Xenopus tropicalis: one gene and its partner. The protein of the gene in region 1 interacts with the protein of each later gene in a pairwise test. Links are inferred from orthologs where the notes say so. Each region holds a gene or a part of one and is shown on either strand. Other genes may lie near its edges.

The links.
Region 2: the proteins of anxa11 (region 1) and pdcd6 interact in binary tests that used the Homo sapiens proteins (3 or more experiments, as listed by UniProt). The link is inferred for Xenopus tropicalis from reciprocal best matches to the Homo sapiens genes ANXA11 and PDCD6.

The regions. Positions count from the first base shown.
Region 1 is NC_030683.2:53,054,647-53,071,316, forward strand, and holds the end of anxa11 (annexin A11), read right to left. Parts: intron 16,366-16,670; coding exon 16,271-16,365; intron 14,990-16,270; coding exon 14,876-14,989; intron 13,266-14,875; coding exon 13,175-13,265; intron 11,997-13,174; coding exon 11,917-11,996; intron 10,948-11,916; coding exon 10,891-10,947; intron 10,586-10,890; coding exon 10,492-10,585; intron 10,055-10,491; coding exon 9,959-10,054; intron 9,068-9,958; coding exon of another isoform or gene 9,000-9,067; exon of another isoform or gene 8,414-8,999; intron 7,564-8,413; coding exon 7,505-7,563; intron 6,512-7,504; coding exon 6,389-6,511; intron 4,490-6,388; coding exon 4,430-4,489; 3' UTR 3,667-4,429; downstream 1-3,666. UniProt on the Homo sapiens protein: Binds specifically to calcyclin in a calcium-dependent manner. Required for midbody formation and completion of the terminal phase of cytokinesis.
Region 2 is NC_030682.2:69,350,183-69,367,628, reverse strand, and holds the end of pdcd6 (programmed cell death protein 6), read left to right. Parts: intron 1-8,598; coding exon 8,599-8,643; intron 8,644-11,110; coding exon 11,111-11,269; intron 11,270-11,628; coding exon 11,629-11,738; intron 11,739-13,177; coding exon 13,178-13,276; 3' UTR 13,277-14,009; downstream 14,010-17,446. UniProt on the Homo sapiens protein: Calcium sensor that plays a key role in processes such as endoplasmic reticulum (ER)-Golgi vesicular transport, endosomal biogenesis or membrane repair.

The DNA of each region.
Region 1 (16,670 bases):
GTATCTTTTTAGTAATGGGCATTAGAGCAAACCATTTCCAACACCCCTTGTGCAGTTGCAGACTACAAAGTATTCTTCAAATATTAATGAACATTAAATGTTACCTAACAATGTTGATTGTTTTTCCTTTGATAGACCCCTGCTTTTGTAAGTGTTACTTGAAGTTCCTAAACCTGACTTTATTGCCAGCGTGACTGTGCCTTTTTAACCTGTAACCAGTTATAGCTTCTAATGCTAACAGACTCCTGCTGCACAAATACTGCAGCCCCCTCATAGAGGAACATGGGGGATCAGATAGGTCAGTGTTTTTCAACCTTTTTTGGGCAAAGGCACACTTGTTTCATGAAAAAAATCACGAGGCACACCACCATTAGAAAATGTTAAAAAATGTAACTCTGTGCCTATATTGACTATATATAAAGTAATTCTCTTGAATAGGAATCAAATAAATACAAAGAAAGTATTTTATAATTACTTTAATATGAAATATTAAGTAAACAAAATAGTGAAATTTTCTCCACAAACCCACCCCCCCACTGATTTTTTTTTTTTTTTTTATACACACAAAAATTTTATATTATATATATATTATTATTAATTGTTTTCTTACATGTCAGGCTGTCTTGGGGTGCGGCATCCAGGGGTGTCCCGGGATTGTCCTCCGGTGGGGAGTAGGGCGGCTGTGCATGGGCCTGGCCCCTGGTGGATCTGGTCTGTCGGGGCAGGGCCTGGGCAGTTGCTCCCCCCGGTCGGGTTGTGCCAGGGCAGGATAGTGCTGCCTCTCCTCTCTGGTTGCTCCGCCCTCCTGGATCCAATGCCGGATGACGTCACAGGCAGTGACGATTTCAGGGCATCAGGGAGCCAGGAAGTGGAAGGTGTCCCAGAGGGGACCGCACCTACGGCACACCAGGCAACATCTCACGGCACACTAGTGTGCCGCGGAACAGTGGTTGAAAAACGCTGAGATAGGTAAATGTAAAGCATTGGGCAACTTACTTTTAAGGCAAAATTCTAAATAGCATACATAGTTAAGTTGGGTTGAAAAAAAAGTTTTTTGGTGCTTAAAAAAGTCAAATTCGAGTTTTGGTTCGAAAACTCGAATGTCTGGTATTTATTAAGTGTAAAAAAACCCGAAAACATGGATGTAAAAATTTACCATCTAAAAGTGATAAAAGAGATATTAGAGTTTTTTATTCAAAGAAGTTTTGTTTGAATAACCGACCATTTTGCAAATAACCGACCATTCGATTTGCGAGTTTATTCAATTTAGAAAGACAAACTCGAATTCACAAACTAACACAATCAAAAATTGATAAATAAGCCCATAATTGTAGATTTCAGTATCACAATAGCCTTGGATACTATGCTTGTTCAAGAAATCATCCAGGTCCCTCTTAAAGGCTGTGGTAGAATGGCCCAACAAATGAGAGAAAAGGTGAGTTTTCCCTTCAAGTTCTCCATAGTGGGAGATGTGATCTTTAAGGGAGAGGATGATAAACGGAGAAGGTTTGCTCTGTTTAAAAGGTTGTGCTGTCTGGCCCTGAAAGCTATAGGGTTCTGGAAGGAACAAACGGATCAGGCGATCCATTCCAGTAGTCCAGCTCACCTATTGGAGCTTACTTTCCACAGGAAGGCTGTCCTGTGGAAAAGGTATTTAATGGTATAGAAAGGTGCGAGACAGTCTCTCAGAGCAGGTCACAGAGCAGGAAGGATACCTCTCTGTGTTAGGACTCCCAGAGGGGCTGGGGGTGCTGCCTGCCACTGCCAGAGGCAGAGGGAGCCCAGAATTGAGAAAGCTGCCAAGAGACTGAGGATCTAAGAAGCTGAAAGGAAAACCAGGAGGCTGAGCTAATCCCCCAGAAGTGTTGTGAGTACAGGGGTGACCCCAACATTTGTGTTTTCCCACTGGTAGTCCACAAGGGGCCCAGGTTAGTAAGGGAACTAATATAATGTGTGAAGGTACCGCCCAGAGGGCAGGATTTATTTTTATGATTTGTTTTGTACGCTGAAATGGGCACCCCTGTGTAAATAAACTGCCTTAAAGCCAAGAAAGTGTCTGTCCTGGATCCCGCTAGTTTACAAGGCATTAACAGAATCTGTTATTACAACTTTACTAGGAAGGGCATTCCACAACCTCACTGCTCTCACTGTGAAAAACCACTTATGCTGCTTCAAATGGAAGCTCCGTTCCTCTAATCTAAAGGGGTGGCCTCTGGTGCACTGATCCTTTTCATGGAAAACATCCCCTATCTGTCTATAATCCCCTCTTGAGAGGAAACTTTTGCGATTTTGTTGAAATTGCGGTGCCGCGTATGCCATCCCACCGGCAATTTACATTTTCGCCGGTGGGATGGCAATTCGGGGAGATTAGTCACCCGCGAAAAGGGAGATTTGTCTCGGGCGACTAATCTCCCCATGTGCCAGAGCCCTTAAACATACAATGTTGGTCTGAAAAGATCTCAGAAGGTTTCAGCTCTCAGAAGATCTCAGAAGGTTTCAGAAATACTGTGATGGAAAAACATGATTTTTTTTAAACATATTATTAGAGCTTCTCCAGCAGAATCCTGTATTGAAATCCATTGCAGATTTTTTTATATTTAATTTTGAAATTCCACATGGGACTTATTCTCTGATAAACTTCAGTCACACTTTACTGCTGCACTGCAAGTTGGGAGTCATATTACCCCCTCCCTTTCCCTCTAGCAGCCGATCAGCAGAACAATAGAAAGGTAGCAAGACAGCGGCTCCCTGACACCTGTATTGTGGTAAGTGGTAGATATCAGAATAGCACTCAACAGCAAAAAATCTGGGAGTAGGAGAAACAATACAGTAGGTTATCTGAAAGCAGTTTTAATGAGTAGCGCTGGCTCTTTCTGAAAGCTCAGACTCAGGAACCTGAGTGACCTGAGATGGCTGCCCACACACCAAATACATTTGTTCAAGAATAATTTTTTAAATGGCAGAGTGAATTATTTGCTATGTTAACAGTGTCATTTAGAAATAAAAAACACCATCAAAATCATGACAGAAAAAAAACATCAGTGAGAAAGGTAATAAAAATAATAAAGATAAATAGAATTAAAATTCAATCTGCCAGAGGAAACTGATTTTTTTAACAAGCCCAAATACAATTTGCATCTTAGGGTTTGATTAATCTGTCCTTTACAACAGGTATGGGATCCCTTATCCAGAAACCCGTTATCCAGAAAGCTCCGAATTATGGAAAGCCCGTCTCCCATAGACTCCATTTTATTCAAATAATTCAGAATTCTAAAACTGATTTCCTTTTTCTCTGTAGTAATAACACAGTAACTTTTAATTGATCCCAACTAAGATAGAAATACTCCTTATTGGAGGCAAAACAACCCCATTGGGTTTAATTAATGTTTTATTGATTTTTTAGTAGACTTAAGGTATGGGAATCCAAATTACGTAAAGACCCCTTATCTGGAATACCCTTGGTCCCGAGCATTCTGGATAACGGGTCCTATACCTGTACTACTATAAATACCATATTGGAACTTCATTTTTTACTTTATATAAAGAACTATTTAAAAATAAACATATTTTGTCCAGTGCTGTACAAAAAGTGAATTATATGCAACATATAGGGAGATATATAAATATATATCAATAAAGATGTGTAAAAAACTTTATGTATTGAAGTTTGTGTAAAACAAATGGTGTATTTATTAAGCACAGTTGTTAGACGTGAACAAACAGCATGCATCTGGATTACAGAAATAATCCATTACAAAAAGCTAATTGCCTTTATAAAATAACAATTGCTTTGCACTAGTCTGGACCTCATGTAACCCACTGAAGTCAATGAGACAAATTCAGCAACAGTTGGCATGAAAAGTGGTGTAAAATGACACCATGTTTGACATAATATGAGAATTGTACACTATGCTACTAGGGTTTCTGACTAGCAGTGCTTTACATACAGGCCTAGCCTGTAAAATCACCTGATAGGGCAGCGGTGACATTAAAAATTTACCAGCAATGTTATTGTCAGTAAATTTGTAATTCCTACTCTTTCCTGAAGTTTCCTGCAGTGGCACCCCACTTTTCTTAACAAGTTCACTTCATGCAACTAATCAGCCCATTCCTCACCCTGTAAATGTATTGGGTACCACATCACATCACCGCTTGCCAACTTCATAGTTGTACATGTATGTTCACATACATGAAAAATCTAGTGGAATTTACTGGCATAGTTTCTGAGCCCCTAGGCAAATAGAATTGCAACCACTTTATTTTACACTCTGGACTAGCTACAGCGATATTGCATAGGATTATACTGTAGCCCAGAATGGAGTTGTATGCCCATAAAAATCTAAATTCTGACTGACTGTCAATACACCCACTGATATTCCCCAGTTAAAACAAAAAAGAACAAGGATTGTAAAAGAGAGTTAACAAATATTTAGTCATTTCCCCCACAGAGTTTCAGCAGAATCTTCCTGTAGTCACCAGACGTGTCTCCCTGTGAGAAGGGGGGAAAAAAAAAGTCATAAAATATATATACACAAAACCAAGGATGGCACTCCACTTCAATTTCGGGTGCAAGGTAAATAGTTCAATATATATATATCTCTTCTGTTAAAAATATACCCACCCCCATTCATGAAAGTTACCCTTTTAAAATAACAGTTGCCCCAGTTGCTCTGGGTAATAAATTGCTTAAGCATCTATAGGAGACATATTTACAAGAATATATAGCTTCATAATTTAATTTAATATGTTTGTTGGTATGAAATTCCTTATCCAGACACCTGATATTCAGAAAGCTACAAATTATAGGAAGGCCATGTCCCATAGAGTCAATTTTATACAAATTATATTAATTTTTAAAAATGATTTCCTTTTTATGTGTAATAATAAAACAGTACCTTGCACTTGATCCTAACTAAGCTGCATACATCAATATTAGATAACATTTAAATGATTTTTGCAGACATAGGGGTACGGTGACCAGTGAAATAAATGGTGACTATTACATTTAAAGTTTGTATCTTGGACAACTACTTTTTCTTAACAACATGCACTTAAAGGCACTGTGTGCAGACACCGAGCAGATTTTGGCATAAAAAGTATGAGTAAGCATTTTTGAACCAATCTTTGCACATTTGAGTTAAAAAAGCTAGCTTTTTGCTTAAAGTTCAGCTTTTCACTCTACTGTGAATGAGCACCCGGTGCAGAGAAAAAAGAAGATTGCTCTTTGGTGCTTGCATAGAAGTACCCCAGCCTGGACAGTTTTGTTATTACAGTAGCACCAGCCTGGGGTATCAGGTAAGCACAAAGCGAAAAATAAAGGCACAAAAAGACCAACAGTTAACAAATCACTCACCAAGTCGAAGTGGTGGTCCAGGTACACCAGCCCCAGACCCCTCAGCATAGGGTGCATAAAATAGAAGTTTAACAGTTGAAAGGCTTTATTCAAAATTACATTAAAACATCTCCTAAGCCCTAAGCGCACTTAATCATGGGCCCATGATTAAGTGCCCCTAGGGCATGAAATGTGTAAGGTCTATGCAGATGCTTTAATGTAATTCTGAATAAAGTCTTTCTACTGCTAAACTTCTTGACCCCTGTGGAGATTCCCGAGTGCCTGCATGCCCATTGTGATTGCTGCAAGTTTTGCACCCCCAGTGATTACAACTTTACTTCTGCTTTAAGGTTTATACTGCCGTGAAAAAATAGCATCTTGGAATATGGATGTTTCAAAGTCACAAAAAATGCATACTTTACTTTACACACATTTTTGTGCAATATCCACTCTGTGTGTGTGCTCACAGGCTAACACAATGCCTGTCAATACACTTTTAAGGGGGAGACAATCAAAGAAAATGCAGGCACAAAAAAAAGCAAACAACAGCCCTGTGTGCCACTTGCCTTATAACAATATGAAGCCTAAAGTTTTTATAGACTCACATTGATGACTGCCATGATAATATAAATATAAACAATTTCCCTCTTGCTTTGATGTCTCTTGCTTCTATAAGGCTTAAGGAACTTGGCTGGCTATGTCCTGAAAATGTAGGAATCTCCATTTTCTGGGTGAATCAGAGTCACAAAGCCTTTTCCCTAAAAGTGCTAGGGCAAAGACACAGAGGACATTTTGTCTCCTGCGATAAATCTTGGCTTCCACAGGCGATGAAACATCCCATTTCCTTCCCACCAGCTAAAATGTAAATTGCTGGTGGGAAAATATATGCGTCTACTTTCCGAAGTAGCTCGGAGTTTCCCGCATTTGAAGATTAGTCGCCCATGGTAGTGGGTGACTAATCTCCTGAAGCATCATTGCCCTTACAGTGACAATAAAAACTCAGTCACTACTTCTCTACTTCTGCAGTGTGTTTATCCCTACTATCTTCTGCCTTACCGTGATATCTGTGTAAAGGGATCTTCCATACATTCTTTTATATTCTGAACGGATATCCAACAAGTCTACCTCACTACGGGACACCATGATGCGGATCAGAGTCTTGTCCTTTGTGCCAGCACCCTGAGAGAATAAAGCAGAGAAGATTTAAGAGTCATTAAACTTGGTAAACAATAAATTAGAAACCTTAAGGTGGCCACACACGGCGATTTTAGATCTTTCGTGCGACCATCGGTCCCACGAAAGATCGTACAACCCGCCACTAACCGTTCAGGGCTGAAACGGCAGATAAGGAGGTAGAAAAAGTAGGATTTCTACCTCCTTCTGGCGATTCAGCCCCAAAGACAGACCGTTGTCAGCAGCATCCTGCGGGGTTTCGTACGATATTATCAGTGCGTGTATGGCCAGCTTTAGAATATTAAAATGTCTTGTGTTGTTGGTCAAAGTCTTTAGAGCATATGTACTGCAAGTGCACAGAGCAAAGTGCAAATATTAAGAACAATCACCATGTTCTTTTCCCACAATGTGTTTTTTCCAGAATTCTGGTGTCACTGCAAGTGGAAATGCTCTTGATGCAACTGTGCTGTAACTACAGCAACTGCATTTGATTCACCCAAACTGAAAGTCATTTCCAGTGTTCTGCACCCAATTATTTCAGTGCAACTGAACTGCAGCAATTGGGGCTAAGGGTGCTACTGCCAGGTCGGAAGGTGGTGATGGAAGCTCCATACCTGCAATCAAATTGTTTTTATGTGAAACTGTGGGGAAAGTGCGGGGACTGAACTGCACTTGCAGACATACATGAGCCCTTTTATTTGTACAGTTAGAACTGATAAATAATCCTAACCCAGTCTAGAGACCTTTTGGCCTCCCCACTGCTAAATGTTCCAAATAACTTTTAGTATTTTATAGACAGCAATAACTTGTCTTGTGAGTTTGTTTGCATCACTCTGCTTATGATCTGCTGACCAATTAGAGTCAAGTAATATAACAATCTAACTGTATCGCTGTTGGGATTTGGCATAACCAAATCCTTGATTCCCGTTGACAGTGGGGGTATCAATTTAATACAGATGCATAGTTTCACAAACTTTTAATCCTTAAGGTAACGTATACCTTCATTGATTTGTAGAGACGCTCAGCGAAGAAGGCAGGAGTATTTTTTAGGCATTTTACTAAAAGAAACAGTAAAAGTAAAACATATAAGCACACCATGCTCAGACTTAGAAGAAAAAGTTTAGCTTGAGGCTGACCAAAACATATAGGTAAAATACAGAGGGTATGGAATTTTACTACAGCTTATTCAGTTCATACTGTACATACATACTCACATGTATCCCACAGGTAGAAAGGTAGTCTTGCTTATTCTGGAAAATGTTATTATGTTTGCAACAACACGAATGACCAGCTGTTTAACACTATGAGTGCCGCTTTTTTTTTTTTTTTTTTTCAGATCAGGGTTTAAAGGAGAAGGAAATGTTAAATTAATGGGGGTGGGATGCCAAATGTAAAGGCACAGGGAGATTTAAGCTGTCAATTTGGGTTCACCAAACAAGCAAATCTTATGGTGTATCGCCACCACAAAGTATGGTAATTACTAGGGGCAAGCAGCAATAGATTGGTTGTCTTTGCAGAATTAATGTTTTTCTGGCACAGGAACAAGCACTTTTGCCATATGTCAAACAAGTAAAGGTCCCCATACACGGGCCGATAGTAGCTGCCGATATCGGTCCCTTGGACCGATTCGGCAGCTAATAGGCCCGTGTATGGGCAGAACCGAGCGGCCTGGCCGACCGATATCTGGCCTGAAATTGGCCAGATCTCTATCGGCCAGGTTAGAAAATCCAGTCGGATCGGGGACCGCATCGGCTCGTTGATGCGGTCCTCGAACCGACTGCCCCATGGCCGCAAATGTAATTCGATCGTTTGGCCCCAGGGCAGGTTATTTTTTTTTTTAGCTACTTGCTACCCGATATCGCCCACCCGTAGGTGGGGATATCGGGTGAAGATCTGCTCACTTGGCGCCATCGCCAAGCGAGCGGATCTTATAGTGTATGGGGACCTTAAGAGTAAGTTCCACTGATGTGACTGATGTATTATCTCTGTAAAGAATTGCAGAATATGTTGTTTACACAACAAATAACAATAATGTTTGCCTATTAATAACTATAATGCAACAATGTAGCAAACATAATACTCCTTGCTGCAAAGCAAGTATGTGCATATGTGCCCCATAAATAACAAAACTTTATAAAAGAAAATGTAATATTTTCCATATTTAAAGTTTGGTGCATACTTAGCACAGTAACACATTTTATTATGACATCTGAGTTGTCATTCAGTGACATCACTGTTTGGAATACATGTTAAATTAAAAAAAATAAATCTTAAAATACTTTATACACAGATGCTAAAGAATAAATATCTCCAATTAGCAGGTTAGAATTTCTAAAGAAATAAACACTGCACTCTGATCACTACACACATGGTTATTAGGAAGTGAAGCATAGTATGGAGCTTGGAAAATACTCTCATTCAGTAACACAGATAAGATGAGTACATCCACAAAACATGCATGAAAAACACTGCAATGATGTCACACACTAGTTCATTATAAGATTATGAAATGGAGCTTGGGTGGAGTTAGCGATCTGGGGATTACCAGACATCTTCTGAGAGCTTTCAAAAAAACCAGGCCAAGAAAAAAACAATGAGCATTAGTGTTAAAAACAGTCAGTACTTATTTACAAAATGCAATTCAGCTTGACTTGGACACTTTGCATTGGTAAAAAGCTAAACCTGAATTGAACTGAAATAAAATGAGTGTGGCCATAAGACGCCAACAAATCATAAACAGGCTTGTGGAACATAAAATGTATTATTCATTTTATTCAAATATAGTGCAAGTTAGTTATTTTTCCCAAGTCAACATAGAGCTTAAACTGAATCATTACCTGCATGCAGAAGCCAGGTTTCTCAGTGTCTAGTCATTTATCCAGTGAAGCATTTTTCATCTTATATATCCACACATACAATTTTCCCCCAACATAGGTATACAAATAAACACCATTTTTATAAATGTAGTCTTTCATAACATATTAGGGTGCTGAAACATGGAGTGATTCATAACCTGGTGGAAAGTCTTCTCTCCCATAGGTGATGAAGCGCCTGACACCACCTGCCCCTTTGCATTAGTCGGAATTTCAGCATAAAACACATTACATGCGGCGACCCCAGGTAATCTCTTAAAAATCCCTTTTTTCAGGTGATTACAAGGCTCTTAATCGGTAGTCATTTATATAGTTTATTTACTTTACTGTAACTGCAGAGATACTGGCTAGTTGGCTGGTGCCTAGCTTCACTAAGATACTGTTTGTGTGCTAAAATAAGGAACCATAAAAAATGCATTAAAACAGGTTTAGTTTTCTTGAACTGTCCCGGAATCAAATACTTTGCAAAATATATTTGAGCCTAGATTAGCCAGTGAGGAGAAAACTACTGAGAGTAGCACAAAAAGGGCTTGTAAAAAATGAGGATGGTGTGAACTGAATGGGATAGTAAGTAACTTACCCACTGCCAACATGCCATTTTCAAGGTTCCCAGACATCTCACGACAGATGCTTTTCTCAATGTCTCGATTACACATTCGCTGGTATTCAGAAAATACTGGGGAGAGAAATGTGTAAAAATCACACATTTGAACATGTGCAAAACTACATTTTAAAGATTTGATCTCCTAGTTTATGTGTAATAATGAATCGGTGGCCCCTCCTACTATAAAGGTGGCCTTACACGAGATGATAAAAGCTGCCGATCTGTTTCTTCTGACCAATATCTGCCCAATATTAGCTAATTTTGACAGGGCTTCATTCGCTTAAGGTTCTAATCAAGTGAAGGTTTATCCCTTTGATGCATTAATTTAGCTGATTACACTTTCTCGTACCAAATAAATAGGTTATATTTCCTTGATTACTTTTGTGTACATGGTAGTTTTTTGTTTTATATTACACAATGGTCAAAATCTTTAGACAAGTAAATAAAAGTTCAACACTTTATTAATCAAATTAATTGCATACTACAGCTATATTTACAAAGTTAGTTACCTGCATTAAGGTGTGCTCTGCTTCGAGTACATAGGATGGCATTAAATTTGGACTCGTCTGTCCCCAGACGATTCTCTCCAGCAGCATACAGCTCCTGCACATAACAACATGTATAGCAGAAAAATGGCTGGCTTGTGATTACTCTTTTACCTACTTTACAGAAATCACGTTTTCTCAAATAAATTCAGAGAATGGTGTTACATTTTACAGGGCTGCATAATTAATATTTCTAACACTTTATCAACAAATCTAGCATTTCTCATACAGCAAAGTTAAAAAATTATATACATGCACTATACAGGTTAACATATCTATGCAGTGATTTTCAATCCGATGCAGTACCTCATCCATGTTTCATAATCCTGGCCCTAACATAACTACAAATGCTTTGTAACTCACCTGCACATCCCGTTGGACTAATGCCATGTCTACGTTGTTGCTTTCATCTCGATTTCCCTGCAAAGAAGACAGTCATAGATCAGTACATATAATACAAATTATAATTATATTTTGGGTTGTAATTATCAAAATCTGGAAAAAAAAAATGCAGTTTTCCCTGCATTTTGTCAATTTGACAAAAGCCCTTTTACTTTTGCTTGAATGCCAAAATGCAGTGCAGCTTGACTTGGACATTTTTTAAACAACCAAAGTTGAATTTAATCAAAATATAAAATATTTAAACATGCTGTCAGCGTATACAGTTTTCTTGTGTCAGTACAAACTGCTTCTCATAATAAAACATTGTAGAGGCATCAGTACCAACTGCTTGTCACTATATAATATACTTTGCCAATGCCTGGCCCAGAGTAGCAATCTGGATGTTCTGGCGAATACTCTGTTGCAAACTGCCATAGATCTGTGCTTTCTTTTGACCCTGAGGCGGATCTCTTCCCTGATATGCCCACCTAAGGTGGGTCAAACGATTCGATTACAACAACAAAAATACGAGCCACTGGGCAAGGATGGCTTTAACAAGTGAATGTGGTCTAGCCCGATTTCCGGCCAGATATCAGTCAGGTAGGCCTGTTGGAGGGCCCCATACATGTGCAGATAAGCTGCCGATTCAGTCTGAAGGGCCAGATTTGACACATGTGCCGAATATTGTTGCAAAAATGCATGTTTTTGGCATGTCATTATTTATTCCATAAACAAAACGCAGACCTAGAGAAGTTTACCGTACACCCTGTGTGATTCTAGCCTAAGAGGACATGCACACCAAAGCCTGAAGCAGTGGCAATGAAGCTGCAAAAATGTAAAAAAATGATGGTGCTTAAAAACTGAGGATGCTTATTACAACAGTATTGCTATACATCTGTAAGCTGGTTATGATGTAATAAGGACCCTGCCCAAATCCTGGAACACAAAAGGAGCTTTGGCCCAAGAATGCGGTACACAAAATTAATTGAAAGAAGACACAAATCCTACCTGAGCCAGTGAAACCAGCAGCCGTAGGAAGTGACCAGAAGTGTCACTTTTAATAGCTTGTTCCAAAGTTTTCTTATATTCTACATGAAAAGCACAGTTCTATGTTATACAACTAAAATACATAAAAGTCACAAATAACCTGTAAAATTATGCTTATAAACAATTTTTAGTGACGAAACAGTTCAGCGATGGAACTTTTGTCACGACTGTTTGTGTATTTAAAAAAATAATGTTCCCCTATTTTAAAATAAAAAGATACTAGAAGTCACATCAAAGTTCCATTATGTGCATAAAACATTGTGTAAATTCCTTGGTAATTGAAGATGTGATTATATCCACTTGACCAGAATCAGCCTGCCTCACCGGGACACCAAGGGAAATCCCGGTGGGCCCTGGCCCTGGTAGGCTTGGAGGCAGGGCATCTTGTCCTTGTAGGCGCCAGTGCCCAACTGAGGTGTGCAGTGGCAGGTTTGGTGGCAGATCAGTATGGTCCATCTCCTACAGGTGCCTGCTGGAGTGCACTGCTCTTAAGTATTGCTATACAAATCTTCGAATGCACACCCACAGAACTGGCATAGCAGTTCAAAATGGAGATTTCTATAGTAAGAGCAGCACACTTGGCTGCAATGAGAAGTTAAAGAAAGATGCAGATAAGCTTTTCAATAAGATCATATTGTTTTTTTGTATTGCTTTGTGTTTCATCTGCTTGCTTCCAGGCCAAGTCTGCTTTTAAGCCCCCTACTTGCTAAATAGTGGGTCCTATCAGCAATAATCTGACCTGATTTACATACTCACTTACATAGGGGAACACATAGCTCCAAGTATTCCAAGAGGCCAAAGGCAGCAATATAAAGAGTATGGTTTCATTAGATACACTGGCTGTTTAATGATCCCTTGGGCCATTAGAAACTCTGAATCACAGCTGCCAAATCAAAAACATGGTACTAGCTGTATTAAACTACGAATATTTAGAAAAAAGTTTAAATCAAACTGTGCTTAGAATAACACTGTCTGCAAGTACTGTCATACTTGATTTCAGTTCCCTTTTAACCAATTTGCTTCCCAATGACAATGCATGTAGACCAGGATCTTTAAAAAAGTGCATCACATTGGTATTACATAAATAGCTTACTATCAGCCACTGTTGTCACAGTACCATTTCTGATCTAGCTTTTGCAGACAAAAGTTTTACCCATGTGTTAACATTATACGCTTTGGAGCAATTTCCCCCCTTTTCCCACTTTGCACCATGCCATACCTGTTTTGTATGCATTACAGATTTCATGTACTGCAGCATTACTCCTAGAAGCCAGAATCTCAATGAGACATTCTTCATCTGTGCCAGCTCCCTGTGTAAACACAATTTCAAGATGTACTGCTAAAGGCAAATTATGCTGAAAAGTAGTGAAGCATGCTTCCTGAATATATAGACAAAACATACTAGCAATAGAAACAGAAAAGAGCAAACACTACCATCGCTTTTGGTTTTTATGCAACATATGTATGGCTCCTTTTGTATTTGGGAATAATTCAAGGACATGTAAGAGATGTTTTCTTGCATTTAAAATGCCAACATATAACCAGGGTCTGGTATTATGTAGTGTAGGGTATCAGCACAGAGTGAAAGCAATATACAAGGCAGCTATTCCCAGCTAGTTAAAGGAGAAAGAAAGGTAAAAACTAAGTAAGCTTTAGCAGAAAGGTCTATGTAACTATAGCCATAAGCACTCACAGAAATGCTGCACTGACTTCTCTGACAAAAAGATTTCTTGCGTCTGTAATTCCTGTGCCAGAGACATTCTGCTCTCTGCTCTCTCCTGCTCCCCGCTCCCTCAAGAATGCTAAGAACTCACTCCCCCCACCTTAGAAATGTGGATTTGAGCCAATCAGCAGGAACCTTCCTCATAGTCTTACTAACCGAGCATGTACACTTGGTCTGGGTGTCTATGCAGGAGTGAGGCATTATGGGAACTTTCTTTTCTGATCATCTGAACAGGTGAAATATGGGGAGACTTAAGGGGACTATTGAGACAACTGAAGGTATGCCTGCAGCTTGAGACTCTTTACTAGCCTTTCCTTCTCCTTTAAAGGAATATAGTCATGGGAAAACATGTCTTTTTCAAAACGCACCAGTTAATAGAGGTTCTCCAGCAGAATCCTGCACTGAAATCCATTTTTCAAAAAGACAGATTTTTTTTATATTCAATTTTGAAATTTCATATGGGGCTAGCCATATTGTTCCTTTCCCAGGGTGCCACAGCCATGTGATCTGTGCTGTGACAAAATTTAAACCTGGGTGCCAGAGTGCAAGTCCAAGGAAAGAACTCAATGTTTTTGACCTTTGTTTTCACCTTTGTCAGGAGCAATAAATGAGGTGGCACCTTAAAAAGCCATTTCCAATATGAAGGGTTGTCCACAAACTTTTGCCCATATAGTGTAGCAGCCTGTCTTTATCAGAACCCTTGAATGAACACTGTAGAAATCAAATACCAGCTTTGATGCCAATGTTTATGCACTGGCACTTGCAGCATTACATCAACTGTTCTGCTATAGGCAAGCTATGTTTCAGAGACAACTAATATAGCCTGTACAGGATACAGTAGTTAAGACTATGTTTAACACAGTCCTTAGTAAGGGGATGTGCAGGTCCCTGTACTCGGAAATGGAGAGCAGATGCCTGTGGCTATTTGCAAACCAAACGCAGTATGCAAAAAAACGGGCAAATGCATTTTCTGCACTTTGTACAGTGTTCAGCTTAGCAAATGAACCCTCCTTTGTTTTTTAAACACATTGCAGCGCTTAAAATAAAACAAATATTTTCAGCCTTATGCAAGGTGATTTATGAAGTATGTGAATTAAATATGTGGATAGTTGTTTCTATGATTAATGAGTGGTTCAGAATCAACCTCTTTTTTTTTTTTTTTAAAGATTATATTTTGCATATTTTTTCAGAACCAACCTTAATTGCCTCATGTATCTCATGCGCATCATAAAGAGTTGGAGTTTTCATCATTGCCAGGATTGTCTTCTCAAAATTCCCAGAAAGCTCAGACTTTAAATCTTTTATCAAATCCTATCAATTTAAAATAAAAAAATTAAAAAAAAAAACAGATAAAATGTTGAATTAGTGCATCAGAATGCAAATTGCCCAGTGGACATCGTCACCTGTACAAAATTCCTGAGACTGTCAATACTAAGGGGCACATTTATCAAAATACAATTGTTTCCAAATACAAAAAAATTGTATTTTTTCTAAGTTTTCGTACTGTGCTTATTTTCTGCGTTTTATTCTTGTTTTTTGTTTTTTCGTTAATTTGCACAACTTTTTCGCACTGGGAGACTTCCAAAAACATGCACAGAAGGAAGAAGTCAGAAAGGTTTTTTCCGCCGTTTACTATAGTTCGGATACGAAAATTTAGTGACTTTTGGATTGCAAATACAATATTATCATGACTATTACAATTTTTCGTATGAATTTTTGTGACATTTTGGATCATCAGAAATTATCGTATCTAATCCGAATTTTACTCATTTCGGGATTCGAACTTGTACTTCGATGAATCTGCCCTTAACCAACTTCGCCAAATCTGGCTACGAGTTGCATGTTTAGAATATAAGGCAAACAATATTGTTCATTTAACATTTTACACGCAGGAGATTTGCAGTAACATACACAATTTGCCATGATCCCTTTGCTAAACGTATATTGAAACAGTAGAATTCTTAATGAATCGCATAAGTCAGTGTAGGACTGGCCAGAAGGGATGACTTTGACGTAGTTGGCCAGCTTGAAGTATATTGCAAAGTATGGACAAACAATCCCTATTTTGTTTAAGGGGGAGGGCATTTCTTAGTAGCTTAACGCACAGAATGTCTTAATGTCCTATAATGTATATATTGATAATGGGTGAGTGCAGAGGATCTCTTGTTGTTGTTTATATATATAGTCCAACTAAAAGATAGCACACCATGCGAAGGGGGTTAATACCAGGGTTTCAGTCCCACACACAGGTATGGTATCCGTTATCCGGAAACCCGTTATCTAGAAAGCTCCGAATTACGGAAAGCCCGTCTCCCATAGACTCCATTTTAATCAAATAATGCAGATTTTTAAAATTTAAATAGGTAACGTATATAGAAAAAGCTAATATAAATCATAAAATAATTGATAATTAAGTTCTGATAATCTATTAATAATAATAAAGAAAGTGAAACTACTTAAAATAATAAAGAAAGTTATAAATACCTTCACTTATGTGCAAATAGCAGATGTTAATAAATGCAATATTAAACAAATAAGCAGCACTGAGCCAACCACGGTTTAAATTTACCTCTGACCCTGCCCACTACTTACCTTTCCATAAGCAGTTTTAAAAGAGAGGCTGATCTGTTGCCTTTGTTTGTTAGACCTACTCCCCAGGCATTCAATAATGGCCTGCTCGTCAGTTCCTGATTTATAAGAATGTATAGCATAGTAAGTAAATAGTATATTTATTCACAAACCTACATATATTTGATATGGAACTATGATAATATAAACCAAAAATACGACAGATACAAAAAAAGACCCAAGTGTTACTGTAATGGTGTTTGTGGTTAAACACATTTATTTTTTAAAAGATACATTTATGGTAAGGCCCCATAAGGCGGATTCTCAGCCAACAGTCCTGTATGCTTGAAAAATCTTCTAATTGTGCCTGCATATAGAAGCATTGAATCTGGCCAGGTGCAGGCACACTCAGCCAATAGCCGCC
Region 2 (17,446 bases), on another chromosome or scaffold:
CAAAGTTTTCCAAATTTAATTAGATTAGTAGGCTTTTGACAGAATACTCAATTGTCAACACCTGCACTTAGATACAATTGTAACTAATAAGGGACAGTTCTGTGTAAAAATGACACTGGGGAAAATGGATGCACAAAATAAAAAATATTTCCAATATAGTTAGTTAGGCAAAAATGTAATCTATAAAGGCTGGAGTGGGCGGATGTCTAACTTAATAGCCAGATCTCTACCTCCTGCTTTTAGCTCTCTAACCTCTTAATTAGTCAGTGACTTTAGGAGGGGCCACATGGGACATAACTTGTTCAGTTAGTTTGTGAGCATGCAGGTCAGATTCAAATGCAAACTAAGGAGGAAGTAGAGTTCTGGCCATTATGTTAGACATCTGCCCACTCCAGCCCTTATATATTACATTTTAGGCTAACTTACTATATTGAAAACATTTTTTATTTGGCACAGCCTATCTGTTTTACCTAGTTTCATTTTTACACTGACCTGCTCCTTTAAAGGGCAATTTCACGTTCATTAGCAAAACTTTAAAAACACATAAAACAACCCCCCAAACCCCCAGACTTCAAATTTAACCTGCTATATATTGTAAAATGTGAGTGGTATTTGGGGGGGTGATCACACAAATGGTCATGCCCAAAAAATTTTGCTACGCACTGCATTACTTTTTGTCCCTCTGCATTTTTCAAATGCTGGGAGGTATGTAGTATGTATGCCGCTGTAGTTTGTAGCTACTGTTACTGTTATTTTGGCATTACACTAGCAGTTTTAGCAGCGAATTAATGCTGCATGTTCAGTATAACCTCAGTATATTTTAACATTGATGCTAACTTATTCATAAGATGGTGTACAGGTCTATAGAGCTCATTATTATTGTGCTATTTGGCTGCTAAACAGAATACTAATATGGAGGTTTTTTTTATCTACATATCTATATATCATAATCATATGCTAGCTTGCTGGAATTTTACTATAATAATATAGTTTGTATTGGTGCAGATAACCGTTATGCATTTTGTTTGATACTAGTAAACATGTTTAACTGTGTATTTCTGTAGTAGTTTGCTACTGTGATGCTGGTTTTAGTATATTAATTGTATGTATGTTTTCTGTATATTTGTACTGTGTGCTACTGTATTTGCCATGCTACTGTCATTTTAATTCTGCCTGTAGGGAGGTGTGAAGGAGAGAATTTATCATTACTGTAAATGCTTTTCCTTCAGTCACAAAGGCAGCCCTGCTTTTATGTTAGCTGTCTGTTATTGCTTGGCACATTACTGTAAATGTGCTAAATATATAATTGTGTTGATTACATTTAAAGCCCCTTTTAAGTGTAAATAAGTCCTTTCTGGCTCTTGACCTCTTATGGCTGATTAAAGAGCACAAACTCCACTCCTGGGATGCCATTTAGGTTTGTACACTACACCTAGGCCAAGCAGTTGGGATTCCCAAATCCTACACATTTATTTTGAGTTTCAAACCATGTACGTTATTGTGCCTTTCAGCATTTGATTGTCAGTCTTGTTGGTTTAGGAAACAAGCTGCAGCCTTCTACAGTACAGCACTGTACTTGCCTGTGACATGGAATAAACTTTTCCTCTACCTCATGCAGTTTGTTTGAAAAAGGACAAAAGCAGGCCTGTGTTACTATGCTAGATTCCCCACCTTAAACTGCACCACTCTGACAGCTCATATAAATCATACAGTACTGGTTCAGTATACAGAATCACACATCTGTTAAGGACCCATGAGGTAATACTGAACTGCAGAGTTTTGCCAATTTACATTTTATGGAAAAATCACATTTAAATTAAATTTTGTGTATTTATAACCAGAACTTTACTAAGACAAGGCCCTGACTCCTCTACATTTACATAATATAGATGTTTAAATACATATTTATTATGCTGATTCACATTCTTTAAAGAAAATATTGAAGTATTAACTAACATACCAGCCATATTTCTACAGTAAACAATATTATGTTTGTTCTTCGTGCAACATGTTTGCATATATGCCTGCATGCATTTGTAAATCTTCCATTAAACAGAGCCCTTCCCATTCAATCTAAAATCAGATTACAGATATTCCTGATAAGGCAGGAAAGTACAGGTTTGGGATCCATTACCGGAAACTCGTTATCCAGAAAGCTCTGAATTACAGAAAGCCCGTCTCCCATAGACTCCATTTTAATAAAATAATTCAGATTTTTAAAATGTACAGGTATGGGATCCCTTATCTGGAAACCCGTTATCCAGAAAGCTCCGAATTACAGAATGCCCATCTTCCATAGACTCCATTTTAATAAAATAATTCAGAATTTTAAAACTGATTTCCTTTTTCTCTGTAGTAATAAAACAGTACCTTGTAATTGATCCCAACTAAGATATAAATAATCCTTATTGGGTGCACAACAATCCCATAGGTTTTAATTAATGTTTTATTGATTCTTTAGTAGACTTAAGGTATGGAGATCCAAATTACAGAAAGATCCCTTATACGGAATACCCTTGGTCCCGAGCATTCTGGAAAACGGGTCCTATACCTGTATTACCTTTTTCTCTGCAATAATAAAACTGTGCATTGTATTTGATACCAACTAAGGTATAATTAATCCTTATTGGATGCAAAACAATCCTATTGGGTTTAATTGATGTTTTATTGATTTTTTAGTAGACTTAAGGTATGGAGATCCAAATTACGGAAAGACCCCTTATCTGGAATACCCTTGGTCCCGAGGATTCTGGATAATGGGTCCTATACCTGTACTACAAAGTGATAAAACAGTGTTTGTCAGAAATTACAATTATGCCAGTTGCTTTAAAGTGCAGACTAAGGCCAATTCCAGATGGGGCCTATTCTTGGCCTGTGGGTAAACGCAGGGTGAAAATATGCCCCTGCCCTCAAAAAAAACAAAAAACCTATTGTTGTTGACTCCGGGTGAGTGTATGGACAGATACCTGGCCTGCGTTTATCTGCAGGGTGAGTATAAGCCCTCTGTAGCAATGGCCTAAAGCAGTGCTGTCCAACTTGCGGCCCGCGGGCCGCATGCGGCCCGCGACCCCCCTCTGTGTGGCCCCCCACCTGTCTGGCTGCTTTGATGGCTTACCTTTGAGCAAGCATTAAATGGTATCAGTACTGTGATTAACTGGCCCCCTGCATGGTTCTCACCTCAGATTCAGGCTGTAATCCCTCTGTATTGTTTAAAAATGTAATCCCCTGTGTTTTTCACACCTTTTAATCTCTGTATTGTCCACCCCCTGCAGTGTTCACACCTCAGGCTCAGGCTGTAATCACTCCCATTGTTCACTTCTTCACACCACAGGTACTGTAGGCAGAGTATGGCACATACAGCCAGCATAGGGCAGGTAGAGTATGGCACACACGGGCAGCATAGGTCAGGGAGGGTATGGCACACACAGGCAGGGTAGGGCAGGCAGAGTATGGCACACACAGGCAGGGTAGGGCAGGCAGAGTATGGCACACACAGTCAGGGTAGGGCAGGCAGAGTATGGCACACACAGGCAGGGTAGGGCAGGCAGAGTATGGCACACAGAGGCAGCATAGGGAAGGCAGAGCATGGCACACACAGACAGCATAGGACAGGCAGAGTGCTGCCTGTGTGTGCCATACTCTGCTTGCCCTATGCTGCTTGTGGGAGGTGAACCTGGCAGGGGTTTGTTGTGGGAGTTTGTTAGCAGTTGGAAATAGCCATTAAATGGTCCCTAAGGTGTGTAATTATGTACTGGGGGTTGCTCTGCTATCCACAGGGGAGGAGGAGGCATATGGAATTTAAGGGTATATCTTAATATGACATAATTCTTTCACATATGAATGACAGTTGATATCCCCACAGTAAGGACCAAGCATTTGGGATTTTGCTGTGCTACCACCATTGTGATAAAATAGGTGTGGTTTGAAGTGGGTGTGGTTTCAAAAAGGGGAGTGGTCAAAACTGGCTTCAATTAGCGGCCCTCCACCATGTATGCTAGAGAAATTCCGGCCCTCGGCACCGTAGAAGTTGGACAGCACTGGCCTAAAGGAACCACACGTGTAAAATAGTATAGAGCATATTTACTTATTGGTGTTATTGCCATTTTTATCTGTAAGGTTTATTAAATAATAATACCCAACAATTTGAATGCATATAGGGATTTAAGTTTGTGTGTATTTTTTCTACTCACAGAAATTATAATCTCTTCCCTTAGGGCTGTGACACATGGGGAGATTAGTCGCCGCGCGTAAATCACTGGTGCGATGGCATACACGGCGGCGCAATTTGCCGAAGATGCCTTGAGTTGCTGGCAATTTACATTCTAGCGGGTGGGATGGCATTTCGGGGAGATTAGTTGCCCACAATAAAGAAGATTTGTCGCATGGCGACTAATCTCCCTGTGTGTCACAGACCTTAGGTCCTAGGCTGGCACTCCACCTTGCAGAAAAATGTACTAGCCAGGGGTACTATCTCAGTGACTACTGTGCTGCAATCTTCTTCCAATTCTTAGGATCTGTGCTGCATCCTGGGGCTGTGTGAATGCTTATCAGACTAAACGTTGCTCTTTTCTCTTGTCAATTCTGATTTTACTGTTCCCAGTAGGGACTGTGTGCTGTGTTTGCTAAAGTGCACAGTCCTATTGGTGCGTATAAAAACCAGGAGGGGTTTCAGATGCACGTATTTATTTATTTTTTCCCGCTCAGCAATTTTAAAAAGCCATTCAATAATTATTGTTTATTGTGCTGGTAATAGTAAATAGTAGAATAAACTGAAAAGAGTTTAAGATATATCCTCCAAAACTAGCCTTATATTGAAATTACTTTTTAAAATAACCAATATCAATAATCTAATTTTTAGAAAGTTTTTAGAAATTTTTTAAAGTATATATGTTTTTAAGTATATATCTGCTAAATTCCAGAGTACTTGTTGTTTCAACTTCACAAGGTGTATTTTTTTTTTAAAAACTTTTTTATTGAAAGTTATTCTGTATTTCCACTGGCTTCCAGTTCTCCATCCACAAATAGTCACTGTTAGAAACCAAAGCAACACAAACACACCCAGGCAGCCAGACAATGGTTGGTTGTGTGTGGGGCACTGCTGCCTGCAAGCTCATGGACAAGCAGGAGATTGTTTAAACAGCTCACTTGCCTCTGCTTATTAAGGGTGCAGAAAATCAGTGGCATATACTGTAAATACTTAATTTTACAAATATGAATGTGAATGTTTTATAGTAATTTAAATGTAGACACTTGAGTTAAAAAGTACATGGCAAATATACATGTTGTTTTTATGTTGAAACATGTAAAAAAAAAAACCATGTAGCTAATTTCCTGTACAGTGATCCCCAAATAAATCATTTGTGAGCAACATGTTGCTCCCAGTGGCCTCAAAGCAGGTGCATATTTTTAAATTCCTGGATTGGAGGCAAATTTTGGTTGCATAAAACCCAATTGTAGTGCCAAACAGAGCCAGTCCACATAAGGGCTACAAAATAGCCAATCACAGCCACCCCCCAATCACTCATGAACATTTTACATGCTTGTGTTGCTCCCCAACTCTTTTTACATTTGAGCGTGGCTCACGGGTAAAAAAAGGTTAGAGGTCCCTGGTCCAGCACATACCAATGTGTTATAGTGAGTAGTTCTACTGTAGATATACCAATGTACAGCTAATGGAATCAATCTTGTATGTGCCTTTGCTTTCCCTTGAAGGGCATCTGGGAGGTATTTAATATGAAAGGACAAACAATATTACTGTAAAAGTAAATACCAAATTCATATCCTAGGATCCAAGGGTCACATAATCCGAAACTACATAAAATGTCTATAGAACTGCAGGCAACATTCTCATGACTATAACCAGACCCTAATTCATTTGCTAGACCACTTCAGAAAAGTTTCTGGATTAACCATTAATCATATTAAATCAGAAGAGTTAATGAGTTAACAAGAGTTAACAAATGGTTTTGAAATTTGATTTCAAATGGCAGGACCATACTATTCACTATTTAGGAGTCAATGGGGCACATTCATTAAAGTACGAGTTCGAATCCTGAAATGGTTAAAATTCGAATTAAATACAATAATTTTTGATGATTGGAAATGTCACAAAAATGCTTCCCAAACAATCGCAATAGTCAGGATAATATAGTAATGGCGTTCTGAAAGTCATAAAATTTCCGTATCAGAACAATCTTAAAAGGTGGGAAAACCTGACTTTGATCCTTCTGTGCATGTTTTTGAAGCCTCCCATAGAACACCGTGGCACTCTGCAGCTTCAGCTTGGCCCAAGGAAAGTCACGATAACGAAGCTTTAATGAATCAGAAACTTTCATACTCGTTGTGACAAATACAATTTTGTCGCATAAAATTTATTGCAGAGTACGAAAAAGTTGCGCAAATTAACGAAAAAATCACAGAAAATACGCAATCAATCGTACTTTGATAAATGTGCCCCAACATGTTTATACAGGGTAGAAGTTGAAGCCTGATTAGAAATAATTATCCTCAACTATGGAAAATGATGAGAGAGCTACAATCTTGGACACAAAGATGGAGTTATCCTGGTTCGGCCGGATTCTTGCCTTTAAAGTGACCCTTGTACCCAAGATGTTATTTCTTTTTAGAACGTTGCCTGTTCATATCCCAGACTCAGACCTAACAGTCATACAGAGAAAGGTATTCCAGTTTAGCTGGGCAGAGAAACATACTCAAATTGCTCAACATATTATGTATAGGGCTAAACATTAAGGGGGCCTAGGAGTTCCAAACTTACGAAATTATTATATTGCCGCACAGTTAGCCCCACTAATACATAAGCAAGCTACCATACCACCAAGTGGGTAAACATATTGAAATCCCAATTATACTGTATCTGATTGATCCCTGTGCATTACTTTGGATTGTAGCTTTTCTTCGCCACAAGAAGCTAGATCCCTTTTTAATTTATGTATTGTCAGTTTGGGACAACTATAAATCTTCGGCTAAACTGGTCTCATCAACCTTTCCAACAGTCCCAATCCTTGGTAACCCCCCTTTTTGCCCCAGGTCTTTCTTACCAGACTTTTCAATTGTGGACAAGTAAGGGCTTCAGGTTTATTTATCACCTTTACTTATGATCGGGCCCTAAAACTTGGCCACAAATTCTAGAAATTAGTAACCCTCCCATAGTTGAAGCCTTTCACTATCAACAGTTATCTCATTTTGTTAATAAATACAATAGAGATAAGTCTGCAGCATCCCCAACTTATTTTGAACATGCTTGTATAAAATACCCTTATTCCAAAGGCCAAATTTCCAATCTTTCTCGCCTCCTTTTGGAAGTTTATCCATGTACAATGTTACCATATATCTCAGCATGGAATAAGGACCTAAATACCACCATCACAGCTGAAACTTGGTTCCAAATTTAGACTTCAACATCTTCATGCTCCTGAAATGTTTCTCTATTAGAAACCTCCTATAAAGTTCTAATGATGTGGTATATGGTCCCATCTTGCCTACACAAAGTAAATCCCCAAATCAGTAAGGCAAGTGTGGGCAATGAAAAACTAAGTTACATACTTACAGATAACTATGAGAAGTTTATTAAAGTCTGGGAACCTTGGTATATTTAATCCTTTCCAAATGCTGGGAATCTGTCGATATTATCTTAATTTTATTTCAAAATAAGGGGCCATGACATTCCATTATAGAAAAGAACATTATGAGGCCTTGTGCTACTTACTTTCCCTCCCCTCCCCCCTACTGTGGGACAACTAATGTATGTATAATTATGAACCTGAGACCTCATAGGCATTAATCTATCATATTCAAACTTTACTGATTAATATTCTGGTATCTGTCAAATTTAATCCTTTAGTTTGTTGTTGCACTTTTCTCCTGTGGCTCTTTTCTATCTCCTTTCCTTCTATTTTCGGATAAATGCTAACCGATACTTGACTGATATTTTAAAATCCGCTGTATAAAAATAAAAACACAAATAAAAATTATTGAAAAGAAAATGTATATAGCACCAACATGTTTTCTCCGCTCTTTTTCCTTGCATAAGAAGTGAATCAAAGTGGTTGCATAATCATTGTCATTTGACATAAGTGAATGCTAATATTGCATTTATATTTATGGTAAAACTGGTTTAGGTGGGGTGTCAGAAACTCTTGTGGTTTGTGCAAGTTGCAACGGAACCCAAAACATATTACTGTTTATCAGGTTTATTAGGTATAGGATCTTTTATCTGGAATGCTTAGAACCTAGGCTTTTCTGGGGTTATTTTCATAATTTGGATCACCATACCTTACGTCTGCTAAAAAATCATTTAAACATTAACTAAACCCAATAGGTTTTGCCTCAAATAAGGATTAATACTTAATAAGGGTACTGTTTTATTACAGAGATAAAGGAAAACATTTAAAAAAATTGTATTTGCTTAAAATGGACTTCTAATACAGGATCCCAAACATGTACTGCAAAAAAACTACTAAATGAATTTACTTCTTGTTGCATCTTACAGAGTAATATTGATTATTAGCTTTCTTGAACATAACTTGGCACTTGTCCATTATAAAGTCAAACTATTAATGACACTTTGTTTTATTTCAGGAACATGGACACCTTTTAATCCGGCAACCGTGAATTCTATCATATGTAAGTTCTGTTTATTGGAACTGTTGCCTATTTGCAGTAAAGCCTTGGAGGCACAACAACATGTTTCCTGGCAACTAGACCCAGTGTTCTCCATAGGATAGTTTGTGTTTGTTTGTTTTTTAAGAACCTTGTTACTCGCCTTCTGTATAATTGTCACCTTGTAGCACTGGTGTCCAAACTGGGTAATGGGTATTGTCTCAGGACACCAACACAGCAGTGCAGGATCAAATTCCTTACCCAAGTACTGAACCACCTGTTCCTGAATTCACATTCTGAATAACAAAAAGTAATTTATCTAGTGCACTGATTGTTTAACCCTTTCACTGCCAGCCATTTTAGACCAAAGTGGAAGTTCTACTGCCAGACCGTTTTTGAACATTTTGCACTGTTGCCCAGGAAAACAATGTATTGTTTTTTTCAGGACAACCTAAGCTTTTAAAATATGGTAAAATTTTGGTGTAATTCCAAATCTGTAACAAGATATAGGCTTCTAAATGTCTAAAAATTTTTTAAAAAAATCACATTTTCCATAATATAAACACACATACCAGAAACAAAAATTATTTTATGCACAAAAATACAACTGATTTGGAAAGTCCCATGTCTCCTGAACGTGCCAATACCAAATATATATAGTTTTATGAAGATTTCTCACTTGTATAGGTCAAAAACTCCCTGCAGTACACTATTTCCAAAGCACTGCTTCAGAAAGCTGCATACTTTAGATTTCAAGGCCAAAAAATCCACTAACAGAAGGTTTATCCCAGAAAATTACACATTTCTGGAAAGAACCTATTCTGGGGAATCCAGAATAGGCACAATTGTCTGTCTACTGCAAACTATCAAGTGGCAATGCTTTCCTAAATTTATTGGTTTTTATCAAAATTTGTGAAATTTAAAAAAAATCACTTCAAAGCTTCCAGTCTATAGTATCTTATCTCCTACAGGTCATAAAGTAACCAAATAAAACACCCTAAATATGAACGCCAGGGGTCCACTGAACAGTGGATTGTGATGCACAATATGTATAGGTTCATCAAAGTATGTGGCATGTAGGGGCCCCAATGGGAACATACCCCCATATGATCTGTCATTTCAGCTCCTGCAAAATCAACACATTTACATCCTTCATATGGGATATTGGTACAAAAAAGTACACTCACCCCAGAAAGCCATATATTTTTGGAAATTACACATTCCCCTGAATCTCTAATGGGTACACATTTCTTTTAACTCCAAAGTACCAAGCCGTAAAGCTTTCCTGTTTGCCGATTTTTTTGACATTTCAGAAATTGCCTAAAAATGTTGCAATTTGCATTTATCTCACACAATTTCTTGCATACAGAGGAAAATCACCCCAAATAGGAACCTAAGGTCTACTGAACAGTTTGATGCCCAATATGTATAGATATACCAAAGTCTGTGGTATGTACTGACCCCAAAATGAAAATAGCGCATAAGGATTTCTTGCCGGCCAACTCAGCTTTTGCATACAGAGCCCCCTGACAGCATATTATGTGCCGTAACACATAACTATACAGAAAAACCCAGAAAACCATATAGTTTTTGAAAGTACACATTCTGACAAATCCAACATGGGTAAAGAATCCTTTCTACACCAAAGTACCAATCTGCAAAGCTTTCCTAAAGTTATTGGTTTTTATGACATTTCAGAAAATCGCCTAAAAATGTTGCAATTTGCTGCATGTATCGCACACAATTTCTTGCGTACTAAGGCAAGTCACCCCAATTAGGAACACCTAAGGTCTACTGAAAAGTTTGATGCCCAATATGTATAGATATACCAAAGTCTGCTGTATGTACTGACCCCAAAATGAAAATATACAGTTTTTAGGGAAAAGAAACTAAAAAAAAAAAAAAAAAGTGTTTGTACATGTGTAAAAGTTGTGTGACAGTGTGTAAGTGTGTACATTAGTGTATATAAGTGTGTAAAATGAAAAAAAAACAAACAAAAAAACTGCAAAATTTTCTGCTGTAAGTGTGTGTGAGTGTGTGTTAGTGCAAAAAAACCCACCTTACCTGTCCTGAAGCAGGGATCACAGTCCTCCTGCTGCAGTCTTCATCCGGGTCAGTGCTTGGGGGGGCGAACAGGAAGAAGTGAAGACTAAGCAGCAGAGGCGATGCGATCGCGTCTGCTGCTTGGAGGTCGGCCCTGCGACGATCGCGTTGCAGGGCCGGTGTGACAGCCCCCCTGGCTCGTTGCCCAGGGGGTTGTCATCGCAAAAAAAATGTGCCGCTTCTGCAGAGAGTACCTTTATCTGCCAAACAACGTACGGCACACGTTGTTGGCAGATAAAGCCTTTTACTGCAACAACGTACGCCAATGTTGTTGGCAGTGAAAGGATTAATAGTTAATATCATGACAGATAATTATATGATGCAGATAATTATCTGATTGTAAATCCACTGCAGTTTTATTTTTAATTTGTGTTTGTCGTTATTTCAGCCATGTTTGACAGGGACCACAAGGGCGGCGTGAACTTTAATGAATTTTCTGGCGTCTGGAAGTACATAACAGACTGGCAGAACATATTCCGAACATATGACCGAGACAATTCTGGGTTGATCGATAAAAATGAACTAAAGCAAGCTCTGTCAGGTTTTGGTAATTTTTTTACTCTCTCTCTACTTTTAAAGTTCAATTTGTATGTACTGTGAGATTACCTTTCTGAATTAACCAGGCTTAGTGGGTTAAAAGAAAATATAATTCCACACAATTACTGTTACAACATAAAAATTTTTACTTGCCAGTGTGCTGTACTTTTAACCAGTATAGGTGGCAGATTTCCTCTGTGCATGATCCTGATTACTACTGGCTTAGTGTATAACTTCGTAATGGCTCTTAAACACAAACGTGGGTCCTTAAAAAGTAATTTCATCTTCCTTTCTGACTTGGTGTGTCCCCCCGAGCACTTACAACTGAAATTGCATATAACACCATAATTAGCTGTTTCATTTGTTTAGGTTATCGTCTCTCAGATCAATTTTATGATGTACTCATAAGAAAATTCGATAGGCAAAGGAGAGGGCAAGTTGCCTTTGATGACTTCATTCAGTGCTGCATTGTCCTGCAGGTACAAATATCAAAGTTGTTTTATATCATGTTATCCTTTGCGCCTGAAAGGCTCGAGTAAACACATAAGGTACTAACTGAGCATTGAAGTTTCCAGCTGTTCATTTGCTTAGAATTGCATCCACTGCATTGTGGGTTACGTAGTAATTCTGTCCTGCCCATCCTGTCGCAGGACTGAGCTGATTGAGAGTAGTTAAAGCCAAGTATTTCCTGTTAAGCTGTTTTGATTTTTCTTGAAATAAGAGCCACAGTTTCAATCCTCAATGGTTTAGGCAAAGTAAGGTCCCAGTGTGGCTGCTCAAGGAAATCAAGGGCCTGTGCAGTGAAATGCAAAGAAAACTGCTATGTCTTCATTTTTAAGTCAGGCAAGAAAGAACAGAATTCATATTACATTACATTAACATTTATTTATAAAGCGCCAACATATTCCACAGCGCTGTACAATAAGTGGGTTACATACATTGGACATACAGAGTAACATATAGAGCAATTAATAACCGATACAAGAGGTGGAGAGGGCCCTGCCCAAAAGAGCTTACAATCTACAAGAGAGCTTACAATCTACTATGTATCTAAGTACATTTCTGCAGTGGTCTGTACTATATTACTATTAAATTAATGTTCAATTTTAGCTAAATTGAAAGACTTCAATATCTAAATTCAGAATTTAATGCTACAACACACATTCTAATTTTTGTAATGATTGCTTTGGCACTTGGCAGGACTGCTTCCATGTGTTTCAGCAATATTTATTTTAGTATTAAAGGACACCTATCTAAACATGATTCCTCCCCCCCTCCTCCACGGTGGTGCCAGCTTAGACAGCCTGCACTCTGGGACAGGTGCTTCTTGTCTTGGGCAGTTCATGTGATGTGAAAGATCATGTGATGTGTAACATCAGGTGAATCTCCTGTACACAGTAGGTGTGCAGCTTTTCTGTAATGTTCTTTTAAAGGAGAAGGAAATGCTAATATAGTGTTAATCTCAAACTACAGACATACCTTTAGTTCTCTCAATAGTGCCTCTAAGTCTCCCCATATTTCCCCTTTTTAGATGATCAAAAGCCTCGTAGGAAAAAAAATGGTGAGCGCTGTAAACAAAATTCCCATAATGCCATGTTCCTGCACCCAAGACCAAGACCCCTGCACATGTGCAATTTGCAAGACTATGAGGAAGCTCTCAGCTGTATGGCTCAAGATCACACATTCCTAAGGGGGGCGTAATTCTTAGCATTCTTATGGGAGGTGGGACCAGGAGAGATACAGACCTTTTTGATAAAGCTTACTTAGTTTTTACCTTTCCTTCTCCTTTAAGAACTGATTGGTACATGTAAATTATGAGTGAATAAAGCCATACTTTTTGTAATAAGAGTTCCATAACGACTTGTTTTGTGAGACATCTGCAGTAATGATATTAATTCTAATTTTTATTTCTCTATAGAGACTGACTGATGTTTTCAGGAGGTATGACACGGACCAAGATGGCTGGATACAAGTATCTTACGAGCAATATCTTACAATGATCTTTAGTGTTGTATGATGCCAACAATAACACTGACCCATTCCAGTAAAGACTGGAGTTGCCAATTTGTATTACAGTACAACACTTTTCTGGTATCATCTGCTATTACCAACCCCCCTCTACATTTTTGGACAATTCAAAACTGTATATAGGGATGGCTTTACTTACTTTCTGAAACATTATATTATGCCATATTGTTATTTACTGGACACTCATTATTATAACTAGGGATGTACCAAGTCCATTATATTTGGGTTCAGCCGAACCCCGAATCCTTTGTGAAAGATTCGGCCGAATACTGAACCAAATCCTAATTTTCATATGCAAATAAGGAAATTGAAGGGCTAAGTAGAAGTATGCGCTTATTTTTTTTTACTTCTGTGTTGACGTAACCAAAAGTCACTTGATTATAAGGATTCGGTACAGGCAGACACTTGGATTTGGATGCATCTGAATCCTGCTGAAAAAGACAAAATTTTCGCCGAATCCCAAACTTAATTCTGGATTTGTGCGTCCCTGATTTTATAACATGTTTTCTCAATGTGCCAGGGAGCTCAGTATACTTAGTTTTATTAAGCTTTTTTTAACTGAATGAAGTGCCATACAGTAAATCCTTATGCTTAATCTCAGCTAGGCTGGATATGATTATATTACCCTTGTACTGAAATTTGCACAATAATTTAGCTACCCTAAAATGTATAAAGTTTAACAGGAGCTAAACAATAAAAACAGTTACAGATAGCCAATTGAATTGTTTTGGGAAAAATGTATTTATTTTTTTAAATATTTTTGGTAGGTCTTCCAAACAAGCTAAACCAGGTATGTCCTAACAATGGCTTACTTAGGAAAGCTGCAATTGTACTTGGAGGTGTGTTTTATGATAAGCTTGCCTAAGCAAAGTTTCACACATCTCTCAATATGGTTCAGTGGTTTGCTTTGGAAACAGGAACATCTTTATTGTTGTTTACAAACAATATGTGACATAGTCCAATACTTTTGATTTTCTTTTATTGGAACTGTCGAGACTGTCATCATTCGCTTTCATTATGTGGAAAAAATGTAGTCTTCCAGAATTTAGTACCATGTATTAATGACAGCATGGCTTTGTAAGAGAGCAGCTCCTCAGTATAGTTAATATGATCATTTGTCCCTGTGATATTTTGCTTAAACAGATGAAAGAGCTGCTACCTCCCCTATTCCCCCCTCCCCTCACAAAAATGCACCTTTCATATTGTTGTTTTTAGATCAGTACACAAACCAGTAGTATAAGATTTTGCCAATACTGATAACCGGTTCCTAAGGTGGCCTTGTAAACTAGTAATGTCTGTAGTGCCTAAAGTATGTCACTGATTGACTAGCTAGGAAAATGACTCAAAAGGGCATTTACTAATGCATCCACCAAATGTTTTCTTTTATGTTTAACTGGAATATAAACATCTACTTTTCTTTTGCACTCTTTGTTTGTTCATCTTCAGCAGTGGAAGAATCAACCTGCAGTCATTAGATTGTCGCCAACTCAAACTACTTAGGGGAAAAATAAGGGAACTTCAATTTTCTTGAAATATCCTAGGGGCTAAAACTCACTGACGGGGCATAAAAGCTCATCCAAAGTAGTAGCTCATGAGATCCCAATAACAGACTGCTTTTGCCCTTATCAGTGTAGTGCAGGGTTTTCTGATAGACATGTATGCAAGGCCAGAGAAGGGGTTCCACATGTACTGTATTTAGTGTAAATAAACTACGAGATGGAATAGAAACAGTAGCATATGTGGAATGCAGCTGTATATGAAACACAGCCAATTGTTTTTTACCCTAAGGAGCAGATTTAGGATTGCTGAACATAAATCAGCCCCTTAGAGTAAAATTTATGCTTCATAGGTACAAGTCTAAAAAATTAAAAAGGTTCTAGTGGAATGATTTATAATCCACTGTATCAAGAAAAAACACATTATGTTTTTGTACTTTATCTAATAAAACAAACTTATGACAATTTATAACTTCTTCTAAAATAAGTACTAACCAGTTTTTAAAGGTATTTACACTTGCTCCTTTTGTTCTACCTTTTTACATAGGAGGACAGATGTCTAGGCATTTACTTTTAACCCCAATTTTTGGATTAGCTATACATTTACTATATTGCTGCAGAAAGAAATGCCGGTGTATTAAGAGGCAACACGATGAACAATCTTAAAGGGGAAGGAAAGTAATTTTTCTGCCAATATATTAGCCCCATAGTGCCACCTAGAAAGCTAAATGTATTCTGCAGAAAGCTTTACCATACCTGTGTAAAGAGCCCTAGAAGCTCCTTCCATTTGTTTAAGACTGCAGCTGAAATTGTAGCCACAGTAGCTTGCTGCTGCAGCTCTAGCCCTTGGTAGCTCAGATCACACATTCTGATGGGACGGGGAAGTGAATTCTTATGGGAGGGGGTTTGAGCAAGAGAAGAGAGAGAGAGAGGAAGAAATTCTGTGTTTGTTTGATAGAGGACTCAGTGCAGATTTTCTGTGAGTGCTTATGGCTGTATTTACATAGGCCTTTCTGATAAAGCTTACTTAGTTTTTACCTTTCCTTCACCTTTAAACAATTCAACTTTTTTGGGTCCCAACCAAAAGGTTAAATTGGTTGTTCATCTGTTGATGAATACCAATTGAAAAGTTGTTTAGTACTGGCCATTCTATAACATACTAAAAGTTAACTTAAAGGTAAACCACCCCTTTAACATGCAAGCATTTGAAAGCACATCAATTCAGTTCAGTGCTGAACAAATTAAATACCTATTTTCTTATATTCAGAAAATGCACACAATGTAGAATCTTGCTTTTGAATGACTGCTGTAGAATATGACTGTGCTAAAACACGTATCTGATCATCATGGAGTAAACCAGGCATAAAAAATAGAATCAACTTAATGCATTTAGGGTCACTCAAAGCACCTAAACACACACACAAAAACATTCATCTATGTGTAACAACTATTAATGAAATCTGCAGCCGTAACACAAGGGATGTAATTACACTTATACTTCATGTAATGACTTGCACAACTCTTCAATGTTGGTCTCATAACACTCACTCTACAAAAATTATAAGGATCATGGAAGAAATTTTAAGGTTTTACTGCTGGAGGTTAGCGAGCGTTTGACAGTCAACCGCAACCGCATCAGACTTTCCGTTCATCAAGTCAGGTTAAAAGATTTTGGTTGGGCATTGCTGAAGGCACCTGAGCAAAATCTACATTTAGGGCTGAATTGGCAGGTGGAGGTTGAATTTCTATTGTTTCTACCTCCATATCTGACGATTCAGCCCTGAACGTCAGCGGGGGAAACAAATGATGGACGCAGGAAAGATCATAATTGCTTTGTGTATGGCCACCTTTATGCTCAGTGTTGAGGTGGCTATATACAGGCTGATAAAAGCTGCTGACAGACTGTGTATGTGTCTTCCTGACCAATATTTGGCCAAAAATCAGGCAGGTTTACAAATTGCCATGGCGAGGAATCATCAGCTCATTTAATGCAGCCTTCGCCCTGACAGATAAATAACTCAGCCCAATATTGCCGACCTCAAGGTGGGCATATGGGTAAAAGATCCACTTGTTTCGAGACTTTGCCTAATGAGTGGAATCTTTACATTTATGGCCAGCTTTACTTTATTCTTGTGACCATTCAGAAGGTTTTGTATTAGTGATATATAAAAGTAATATCTTGTTTTTCAAGCTTCACCTAAAAGCAGTTCATTATTCAGGTAATCACCCTGACACATTCCAAATCTTCTGGTACATAAGGAGGTTAGCTATTGTTGCAGGCTAGAAAAACAAAAAGGCATGAACTTCTACTCAGGCAATTTGGCACACATAAAGCTTCCCCATCAGAAGGCTCCACAGCATGTTACTTCCCCTGAAATGGACTGCATTTTGCAGGTTACAGCAGGTACAGAGCACTTTAGAAAAACAGTTCACCTGCTGGGACTGCTTGTATAATCCATTGTTGCCAATCTAACATGAACCTGATACTTTAATAAAGCTACATTCCTTGCTCAGAGTTGCATTAGTGCAAATGGTAATATTGTGTAAGGGCTAACTGCTTTAGGTAACTAAACTGGCTTGGCTATTGCCTTGTTAGCTACAGAATTCCTTACACACATCTGTACTTTCTGCAAAAACAAAATGTTTAGTCTTAACAGGGAATG